Linked DNA regions of Saccharomyces cerevisiae S288C. The gene in region 2 interacts genetically with the main gene of each other region. Each region holds a gene or a part of one and is shown on either strand. Other genes may lie near its edges.

The links.
Region 1: mutations in RHO4 (region 2) and MEI4 together harm fitness more than expected from each alone (negative genetic interaction), as found in Saccharomyces cerevisiae (2 studies listed by BioGRID).

The regions. Positions count from the first base shown.
Region 1 is NC_001137.3:235,528-241,293, forward strand, and holds MEI4 (Mei4p), read right to left. Parts: upstream 4,248-5,766; coding exon 4,185-4,247; intron 4,097-4,184; coding exon 2,933-4,096; downstream 1-2,932. Other genes in the region: SAH1 (adenosylhomocysteinase), read right to left, coding at 243-1,592; ERG28 (Erg28p), read right to left, coding at 2,043-2,489; ACA1 (Aca1p), read right to left, coding at 4,505-5,766. UniProt on the Saccharomyces cerevisiae protein: Required for meiotic induction of recombination, viable spore production and chromosome synapsis. Component of the MER2-MEI4-REC114 complex which seems to be required for meiotic double-strand break (DSB) formation.
Region 2 is NC_001143.9:546,568-552,093, reverse strand, and holds RHO4 (Rho family GTPase RHO4), read right to left. Parts: upstream 3,879-5,526; coding exon 3,003-3,878; downstream 1-3,002. Other genes in the region: 40S ribosomal protein eS21 RPS21A, read right to left, coding at 1-91, 414-437; TRM2 (tRNA (uracil(54)-C(5))-methyltransferase), read right to left, coding at 727-2,646; DYN1 (dynein heavy chain), read left to right, coding at 4,169-5,526. UniProt on the Saccharomyces cerevisiae protein: Plays an important role in cell growth. Required to keep the uninucleated state. May be involved in the organization of the cytoskeleton which affects microtubule functions.

The DNA.
Region 1 (5,766 bases), on a different chromosome or scaffold from region 2:
GTCAAGTGCATGAATGAAATATTTACTGTTGAAGAATTTATTATATATATAGGTATACAGGATCTATCTTTTCGATAACGTAACTTAGTATCACATGTATTAGTATTAATACTGTGATAGGATTGTTAGCTGTTGTTTTTATATTTGCAATTTATTTATGATCTTTTTTGATGATCAAACCGTTGAGTTTTTGAACATTAAAAAATAGTGAGAAAGAAGAACTGAAATGGGAATTGAATTGATCAATATCTGTAGTGGTCGGCCTTGAATGGACCTTCTTCTGGAATACCCAAGTATTCAGATTGGACTTTACTCAATTTAGTCAATCTAACACCCAAGTTGCCCAAGTGGAACTTAGCGACAGCTTCATCCAAGATCTTTGGCAAAACGTGGACACCAACTTCGAATGGGCCTGTCTTTTGGAATTCAATGTGCTTTTCTCTGAAAGACTTATCGTTAGACTTGAACAAAGCAATTTGAGCTAAGACTTGGTTAGAGAAGGAACAAGACATAACGAAAGATGAGTGACCAGTAGCACAACCCAAGTTAACTAATCTACCGTTAGCCAACAAGATGACGTGTCTACCAGAAGACAACAAGTAACGGTCGACTTGTGGTTTGATGTTAATACATTCTTTAGCGTTAGCCTTTAACCAGGCGACATCAATTTCGATATCGAAATGGCCAATGTTACAAACAATGGCATCTTCTGGCATGTTGATGAAATGTTCACCGTTGATAATATCTCTACAACCAGTGGTGGTAACGAAAACTTGACCAATGTGGGATGCATCTTCCATGGTAACAACTTGGTAGCCTTCCATGGCAGCTTGTAAAGCGTTGATTGGGTCAATTTCGGTAACCAAGACACGAGCACCCATTCCTCTTAAGGCAGCAGCACAACCCTTACCGACATCACCGTAACCAGCAACAACGGCAACCTTACCAGCCAACATGACATCAGTGGCTCTCTTAATACCGTCGACTAAGGATTCTCTACAGCCGTACAAGTTGTCAAACTTGGACTTAGTGACGGAGTCGTTAACGTTAATGGCAGGAACCTTTAACTTGCCTTCTTTGACCATTCTGTATAAGTGGTGAACACCGGTGGTAGTTTCTTCGGAAAGACCAAAGCAGTCTTCCAGCATTTCAGGGTGCTTTTCATGAACTAAAGTGGTTAAATCACCACCATCATCTAAGATCAAGTTCAATTTCTTGTTGTCCTTGAAGGCAAACAATTGTTGTTCAATACACCACAAATACTCTTCTTCAGTTTCACCCTTCCAGGCAAAAACTGGAACACCGGAAGCGGCAATAGCAGCGGCGGCATGATCTTGAGTCGAATAGATGTTACAAGAGGACCAGGTAACTTCGGCACCCAAAGCAACTAAAGTTTCAATTAAAACAGCAGTTTGAATGGTCATGTGCAAACAACCAGCAATACGGGCGCCTTTCAAAGGTTGGACGTCACCGTAAGCCTTTCTGATGGCCATCAAACCTGGCATTTCATGTTCAGCCAATTCGATTTCCTTTCTACCGAAGGCAGCCAAAGAGATATCAGCGATTTTGTAGTTTTGAGCTGGAGCAGACATTGGGAATTGTTCTTTTTGTCAGTTGGGTTATTTCGAGGAGAAGAGGATTTTCAGAAAGAAAGAAAAACAAATAGGAATGGAATCATGGAGTTAATAAACCACGTTACTAAATAAGAGATTGGAAAATCTAAAATACGGCTTCGAGGTCGTTTAATTTTCTTTTTCCTCTGAAAATTTTCTTTCTTTTTCGGCCTTAGCCTGTGAAAATTTCGGCCGAAAAAAAAGCCAACGAGATCACGTGCACAGAAATATCTGCGTTAGAGGAGAGAGGTAGGGATACTTACAGAAATGAAGCCAAATTGGCAGCTTTTTGAGAAATAATCATGAATGATAAACAATTGCTGTTAAATAATGTACGGAAGGTTTGGATAAAGGTTGCTATAGGCATTATATAAATAAATCATCTCTATATAATTTTTTTTACAGGATATGCTTGCCCTTACATCAGAATTACCAAGCAACACCAGTGTAGTATTCTCTTTGTTTGTACATCCAAACCAAAGAGGTGGTTGAGACAACCAATGGACCCATGAATCCCTTTCCCAACTTACAAGTTCTAAAGATCAATAATTCAGAGCCGAAGTGGAATAGGGCAACCATATAAGACATGAAGACCAATTCGAAAATGTGTGGTTCATTCAAGTACATAGCCCCATAGAATCTGATAACACAGGAAATAAAGGTCCAAGTACCGAAAGTTCTTGCACTCAAATGGGTTGTTTCAGTGGGTTTTCTTTCGTAGACTTTACGTGTCAATTCTAAACCAGAAACGTAAGTCTGGATAGAATTGAAGACTGATACAATGGAAATGAAAAGTAACCATTTTGGTAAGTAACCTTTTGGCATTGCTGCCAAGGTGGTCTTGGTTGTAGTTATTACGTCTTGTAGGCTGAACATTATCTGATACTTTAGTGTATTTGAATCCTTCGATACTATGGTCTAGCTAGTGTCAAGAATATAAAAACCTGAAATTAGTCAATGCGTTTACGTCAAAAATAGTAGCAATAGTAAAGCAAAACAACAGGCTTGTTCAGCTTAGTTTTATATACGGGGGTAGAGAATACAATGGATCGTACCTTTTTTTTTGTTTCCTGTTCGTTCCGTCCCCGAACGAAAAAATCATAAAATAGAAGTTTCCTATCGGTAATACCGTAAAGTTTAATTCAGTTCGTATAAGATTAGGTTAATCATGGGCAAGTCCGGAAGAAGCGTTTTAATGTAGGTCTGTTGGGGAAGATGTTGTGTTCACTGTAATTTTCAACTGAAGTTGTTGTCCCCGAAATGAAAGAGCTTTCGATATTTTTGTGTTTTATAATGCGCCTCCTACTGCAAAAGAAAAATTAAATGTTTTCTGTCTCATTGAACCATCTTGACAATCGAAAGCGCGCTATCAAATTTCTTTCGGCAGTAATTAATAAGGCCGCCTGTATATATTTCCTTTTCTTCTGAAGCGATATTTCATGAGCCGGAAATTTTTCCAGGAAAGGTTTTAAGTGCTGCCATTCAATGCTTTCAAATGTCTCGAGCAATGATAGAATAACTATCTTGAGTATTTTCAATAGACCCCCTAACTCTTTTTCTGGGACACCGCTTATTACACTGTAAAAGTTCTTTAAGTAGGTTTTCTTCAAACTCAATTCTCTTTCGAGGTATACTCGACAGTACGCCTTTTTCCGGTTGATGCATATTAGTTTATGCTTCGATACAAATCTAATAAGTACATGTATCAGACTTTCGATGATGATAAGTATGTGTTCAATTAATTTCAGAACAGATACGTATTTTAATATCTGCGGTTCAAATGTTTGGTTTGTCTTGATTTTGATGAGTTGAATGTTAATAATAGAGTAAATAAGGGTAAAATGCAACGAACACAAGCGCTTGTAGTCAACTTTATCACATAAATGTTTGCCATCTCCCTGGTCGTAAAAGTTTTGAAGCCATTTTGGATCGTTTTGGTTCTTCTTCAATAAAATTCTATTAAACAGAAACTTGGCGATGAAATTGAAAACATGAACGTCTATCAGTGTCCTCTTAAAAGAAGAATCAGAATCTATGCGATGCGAATAATGAGAAACTAACAAGATTTGGAGTGTTTGAAACACTTGCGATAACCCTCTAAAGTCAATTTCTTTTGTTTTTAAGCTCAGGATTTTTAGCAGAATTTTATATCTCGGTAAAAACCAGTTGTTTATATCAGCAGTTGATACATCTTTGCTAAATGATTGCAGCTCCTTTAAACCAACTGCATCTTCGAAGCTTTTGTACTTATTCTGGCAAAGGAAATTGTATATAGGTTCCAGATGAGCAAACAGTGATTTATTATTCAAAAATCCATTTTCGAAAGGCGCAACCCATTTGTATATATGTTTTGAGTTTTCCCGAGGATTTATTTTTAAATTTTTTTCACTCTTGAGAGCACCTACATCTTCGACATCTCCTTTCTTTCTTGAAAGTGCCCTCTTCCACAACGTAGGATTCCTGGATTGAATTAAAGCAAAACACTGTCATAGATAATATTCGAGGAGATTACACCTCTTACTAAAAGTTAGTAAAGAGAAAATAGGTTAAGGATGTGACAATTTCACGTACGATTATCCAGTCAACTTCCGATGTTTCCTTTTGTTCCATATCTTCCAGTTTGCCTCTACTCATGTCCTTACTCTTCTAAAAGATTATTTAATGAAACTGTTTCACAACTACAAGATGTTTGTTATGTTTTCTTTTACAAGTCGGAAACATTTAGCCGCCCAGCAATATATATGACTCCGAAAGAAAATGAAAGGAAATACATACATAGTAAAATAAATCGTTTAAACATAAATAATCGTACAGAGGAAAACATTAAGGAAGGAGAGTCAAACTAATGTACTGGGAATTTGGATCTCCCATAAGAAGTATGCGCAATACTTTTATTCATCATATAGACTGGAGCTGCGTATCATTTCTTCAATCATTTTCAGAAACCCGTTAACATCACTATCCTTGTTTTGAAGGCTTTGATAACTATTATTACCACCATTAATTGTGCATTCTTGCATGTGCAACCTCGAAATTTTCTTCATTTTTTGAACCAATTTTTCGTAATTTTCAATTTTTTTCTTCATCATTGTGTTTTCTTTGCTTATTTGGTCAAATTCCCTTTGAAGTTGTAATTGTGACATTTTCTTTCTCTGTCGACACTTGGAAGCGGCAATTCTGTTTCGTTCTAGTAGCCTTGCACGCTTCCAAGCTTTAGCACCGTCTTTCAAGCCTGCAGTATTGTTCTCTATTTTTTGGGGTCTAGCTTCCTGCTTTATTTGGAAGGTTGCTGTAGTGTGCATAGAGGAGAAGGGCGCGGTATGTACGTCTTTCTCACTATTAATATTGTTTTTCAGTGCAGAAGTGGCATCCTTGTATTGTGGTTTTGAGTTGGCATGTGTTAAATTGACATCAGGGCATTTCGATTCGTATGGAAGGCTGCTTGAAATATTCAACTCGGCATTTTGGCAGGAATTATTAACAGTGTGGTGATTAACGCCATGGGAAATTGAAGAATGGACGGATTGATTTTCGATATTATGATCATTAATGTTTTGGCAGGAAGAAGAAGAGGAAACGGAAGAATTAGAGGCTGGAGTACATGGATGCACATTCAATTGAGCGTTTTTCCATGCCTTAGTTTGCATTTGAGCTTGTAATCGGAGTTGCATGTTGATGTAAGCCTGATTCATTGTGGAATCGCCAGATGGGATAGAAGGCGTGGCAGAAGGAATGTCACAAGTGGCTGCTACTGCGGGTATGTTAAGCTTTATATTGCTATCATACGGGGTCATTGCAGCGTAGATATTCTTGCTACCTGTTTGAGGTGCAGCTTCGGGTATGACTGTAGCTTGTTCGTGTGGTTGTGGCACGTTTTGCAATTCGTTCGAGCTAAAGCTTGGGTATATGGCTGCGCTTGGATTTGCCACCTGTTGAGGATTGGGATTCTGTTGCGCCTTAGACGATAGGATCGGAGGCTGACAGTTGTAAAGATTTTCAACCGTTTCTAAGTCTTCGCCTAATTGACTAATCTGACCATTGGAGATAGATATGCGTCTTTTGTACACGGGCTGATCAAACGCTGGTAAAGAACTTTGAAAAATGGGAGGGTTGGTAATGGGAAGATGGCTGATGTCGACGCCAAAGGGTTGAA
Region 2 (5,526 bases):
CCTTAGCGACGTTGATTTGAACAGATGCGTGGTCATCAGCCTTGATGATTCTGTTGGTAGCAGAACATTTTCTTGGAACGTAAAGTTCGACCTGATGTAAAACAAATCTTTGTTAGTTATGCTAGTTTAAAAAACACATTGTTGGTGGTGGTGAGTGATGATTTAATACATGTGAAGAAAGTAATCGAAGAATTTTGTCAGAAATTGCTCAACTTTTGTAGGCTGCATTCAGAGCTGGTCTATGGCACCTTCGGAGTTGCTTATTATCGGTAACCATAAGTATGTTTTCCATACATTGCGGATGCCTACGTTTTGTTTGCATTATGATATCTTTCTTACATTTATTTAAACAGCCATGCACTTTCCATTCATCCGTTAAAATATAAAAAATCTTATAGATTTCTCGAACATACTAATTGGCCCTTATCGTTTTCCATTTTGGTATGATGTTTCTATGGTTTGTATGTGGTTAATTTACGCCTGATCACCTTATATCTTCCGCTAAACTCTCTACTAAACATTAGAATAACGTATATGAAATTTTCAAAAAATCGTTGTGCATAATATCACTCTACACGTTACCTTTTTAGTGTAATTTTCGTTCATTTCGAATTGAAAAATGAATCTGAGATACATTTTCAATTTTCAAAATGTACGGATTTAAAAGTACAGGAAGACATTTACTCTAGAAAGATATACATAGTGATAGATATTTTATATGTGCAATTAGATTCTCTTCATTATACACACACTCTCAACGTGGTGCGTTTGTGGAAAGAAATCAAATCCTCTTATGCTTTCAATCTGGTGGGCGGAACCGTTTTCTGTTTCTTTGAGGAAGTACTCGACATCACGTGCCTGGGAATGGACATTACACGATATGTAAATAATCTTGGCTGGATTATATGCGGCTAATTGCTTTAGGAATAATTCGTCACAGCCCTTGCGTGGTGGATCCAAGATAACGGAAGTGTTTTCACTTGGAGTATCAATAGACTCAAAGAGTTTCTCAGCCTTTCCAACGATGAATCTACAGTTTTCAACACCATTTGCCTTTGCATTTTTTTCTGCAAAAGAGACACTGTCAGCGGAAATTTCTACACCAATCACTTTATCTACGCCCTTGGAGCTGCATATACTGAAAAGACCTGATCCACAATAAGCATCTACTAGAAACTTTGTTTTATTATCATCACCTTTAGCGGGAGCTTGCAAGTTATCACGGACATACTTGGTCACTATTGGCAGGATAGAGTTATTATTTTGAAAAAACTCACCCGCACTAAAATTAAAAGTATATCCATCAACATATTCAGTGACAATTTGTCTAGGATTGGTAACGCAAGTTTTAGCCAGCCTGACATTGTTCTTTTTGTCTTCGACTTCGACATAACTTATATCACCATTTTCATCCCTAGAGGCTTCTTCGGTTAACTGTTCTAAAGTTGGTTTGGAAGGGTCTAAAATAGTGGTATTCTCTCTCAGTAAAATAGTCGCGCCTTTTTTGTAGTTTTTAAACTCTTGCTCAAACTTTCTTCTTTCATTAGTCAATCCTTTGTTGAGAACTTCAGTTGCAAGCACACATTCATCGATATCTAATATCGAACCATGTCCGCCGATATCCAAAGTATCTTTTCTCCATTGAGGTCTACCCTTTTGACCAAATCCTAAAGGAGGCCTTACTGATAGTTCCTTTTGTTTTCTTTTTGGCATATCGAAATGAGGCGTAATTTTGGTCCTGTAGCCAAATTGTAAAGGGGAAGCTACGGTGGTGTCAAATGGGGGTAAAAGTTTTTCAGCAACTAACCTTGGTGCGAAGAACTTGTAGGCATTCATAATTGTTTTTCTTTTCAATTCTAGTTGGTCATCGTAAGTTAAGAACTCTAATTGACTTCCTGAAGATTTCCCGAAATATTTATCCCTAATTAAATCATCTCTTCTCATTGGAGATTTTTCCACTACGTCTAATAAATCACTCTCGACATAGTAAGGGTGGGTCTTAAAGACTTTGATATTAACTACATCACCGGGCAGGCCAAACGGTATGATAACAACTTGCTTCTTTTCTGTTTCAACAGGATTATCGATCAAAGCCAACCCGTTGCCATTGGAAGTAATTTCTAAGACCTTGACATTTTTTACCTCTCGGTGATATTGTAAGACGATAGGTCCATCTGTTGAGGACTTATCATTTAGAATTGAAGTAACATCGTTCAGAACCTGCTCCCTGGACAAATTTTGAGATTTTAACAAATCGTTCACTTCAAATTCTAGGACACCCATCGGAGAAGTTGTTTCAACCTTTTTGGCCTTGTACTTTCTCAACTTTGGCTTCTTAGTCCGGCGGTTACCAGAATCTGTCAAAGGAGACGAAAGCCTTTTGTTGTCAACGGTATGTTTCATTGTTGGTGGTACCATTTCAGTACTTCCAGTCATGGTGCTGATTAGTTTATAATTATGCTTCTTGACAAAGTTTCTGCAAGCGAAAAACCTAGCTTTAAATATAGACTTCTGTACGGTCCAAAAGCAACGCATGCATGTGATAATACTCCAGCGTTTTATCGATGAGATGAGATGAGCTTTATATTTAACCTTATTGTCTGAATTTTCGAAGAAAAAAAAAGAAAATTCAAACTGTTCGTACATAATGACTTTGTCCTAAACTATTCCTCTAAAATAAAATGACAGATTTGTACTTTTATGTCACAGAAGCTTTTATTAAGTATTTAATGTAATTAGGCTAGATTAATATCGAATTAGTACTTTATGACATCGAATTAAAATGAATTATTATGATAAAATTGGGATAAATTCGAATATATTGGAGCGGTATATCACACCAGATTCAGAAAAATGGAAGTTAAATTAAATCAGGTTCTAATTGTTTCGTCTTGATAAATAAGATAGCGGAAGATAGTAAAATGTGTGTATTTTTTCTTGCCACTTTTCAAATGTTGTAAGTGCGTACAGAATGGGCAACAGAATAATCTTCATCATTATTCTTACATTATAATACACTTGTTTTTTCTTAATCTTTTCGTTCCGGAAATAGAGACGCTGGTATCTCCAGTAGAAGAATCGATATCTGATCTGGTGGTATTTCTTTTAAAGGGATTTTTGATTGTATGTGTAGGCTCTCTGGGAGCATATAATGAATCGGAAAGTAACGTGTGTATGGCAGTTTCAAATACTTCATCGATATTTTCTTTCAATCGTGCTGAGCATTGAATATGTGCAAATGCCCCCAGACGCTTGGCCAAGGATTCTGCTGAACTTGGTTCCACCAGATCTGAAAGGTTATCAGCTTCATATAGATCTGATTTAAGGCCGACTAGCATGATTGGAGTGGAAGGACAAAAATGCTTAACCTCTGGGAACCAGAGATCTTCCACATTTTTAAGCGATGTCTTACTACCAACAGAATAGCACACCATCAGCACATCTGCATTCGTATATGAAAGCGGTCTAAGTCTACTATACTCTTCTTGGCCGGCAGTGTCCCATAATGCCAATTCTATAATTTGACCGTTGGGTCCTTCTATGTTTGTGACATAATTTTCGAAAATAGTAGGAATATAATCAGTCGGAAATGTTCCTTGGACATAAGATATCAGCAGGCACGTCTTCCCTACAGCGCCATCTCCCACAACAACAATCTTTAGGTGATAATCTGGCAGTTTGTTTGTACGTTTCATCTGCTCATAACTAGGAATGGTAGAAAGGCTTCTAGCGAATGGAGTAGGCAATCTGGGAAGATTCTTTTCATCTAAAGTGCCAGGTGATTCAGGAAGATTGCTACTTGAGGGCGATCCCTGCGAAACTATGTTACTTTCGTTCCCACAATTGCCACCTTTTCGCTTAAATAATAGTGTATTCATGAAAAAGCGTTACTATTGGAGATTTTTGGACCTATTTGACTTAAGTTTGCTGTAACTTTTGAGGGATGCTTATCATGTCTTTTGTCGTCTTAACGTAAGGCTATAACTACTTAATCAGATCATCCCGAATTGATGCGCGGAAGGTCGCATTGTACGGATTCTAATAAATAAGCTAATGAAAGGTAAACAAACATTACATATAAAAATTAACAGAAAGCATAGAACATAGAAGGGCAATAATACTCGTTCAGAGCTTAAATTGGAAAGTACGTCAAAACGTTTTTTAGGCAATGTGCAAGAATGAGGCAAGACTTGCTAATGAGCTGATAGAATTTGTTGCAGCTACTGTAACGGGTATAAAGAATTCTCCCAAAGAGAATGAGCAAGCATTCATTGATTATCTACATTGTCAATACCTTGAACGGTTTCAATTTTTTTTGGGATTATTGGATGGGAGAGAGTTCGACACGTTGTTTGTCTTCCTTTTTGAAGAGCTGGATAGAACAATAGTTACAATAGACATTGGTGAAGAGGCTATATATGATGCCAACTTGGCGAATAAAAAGTATTCTACTCTATTAATTATTAAATCTAGAAGTGTTATTGTGGATGCAGAACCGATTGCAACACAAATAAGTGCCATATACTTACCTGGTCCAGTAAATGCGGGGAACCTGGCCTCAATTATCACACATGGCGTATCGTCTGTGTTTGGCCAATTGATAAAATCAGATACAAAGACATATTCTGTCGAAACTATAGATAAAACGAGGAGGAAACTTGACGACATTTCTAAACAATTTCAACAGTTACATACCTCAATTGAAACGCCAGATCTTTTAGCGATGGTCCCTAGCATTATCAAATTGGCTGTATCAAAAGGGGCTACTTCACATGATTATGCAAACTACCTTCCTAGTAATGATTTGGAAAGTATGAGATTTTTGAACATTTTACAAAGCATTGCAAACAAATGGTTTTTGGTTCTTAAACAAACATTAGCCATTGACAGAGATATAAAAAATGGTTCTTTTTTAGACGAAGTTGAGTTTTGGTCGAATTTCTACGAAGTACTGAAGTCGTTAATTGAACAAACACAAAGCCAAGAATTTCAGGTGTGTCTATCCGTTCTAACAAACGCAAAGAGATTTCATAATTTAACAAATTTATTGAATGAAGGTTCACTTTCAGATAAATTTAAGCTAGCGGATAAATATAACCAATTTCTATCGTCAATCCCTATCGATGAGGTTCGCCAGGCAAGCAATCTTGAGGACTTGCAGGAACTATTTCCTGTTTTAGCATCTTCTTTGAAGAAGTTCAGATATTCAGGTTATCCAGTTCAAAGATTTGTTGTGCTGATGGACAAAATTTCACAAGAAGTCATGGATGCAATTCTAAGTAATCTTTCAGATTTATTTCAGCTAGAGTATGGTTCTTTTTTGGGTTTATATGAAAAATCAGCAGGCATGATAGAAGAATGGGATGATATTGTCCAGGATGTCAATCTTTTAATAAGAGAGGATCTTAGGAAAAGAGCACCACAGGAGCTACTTATACAAAAGCTAACATTTACAAGTGCATCCGTAAAGGCTACTTTGGATGAAATTTTAAGCACACGCAAGCGATTTTTTTCATTGGCAGAAAC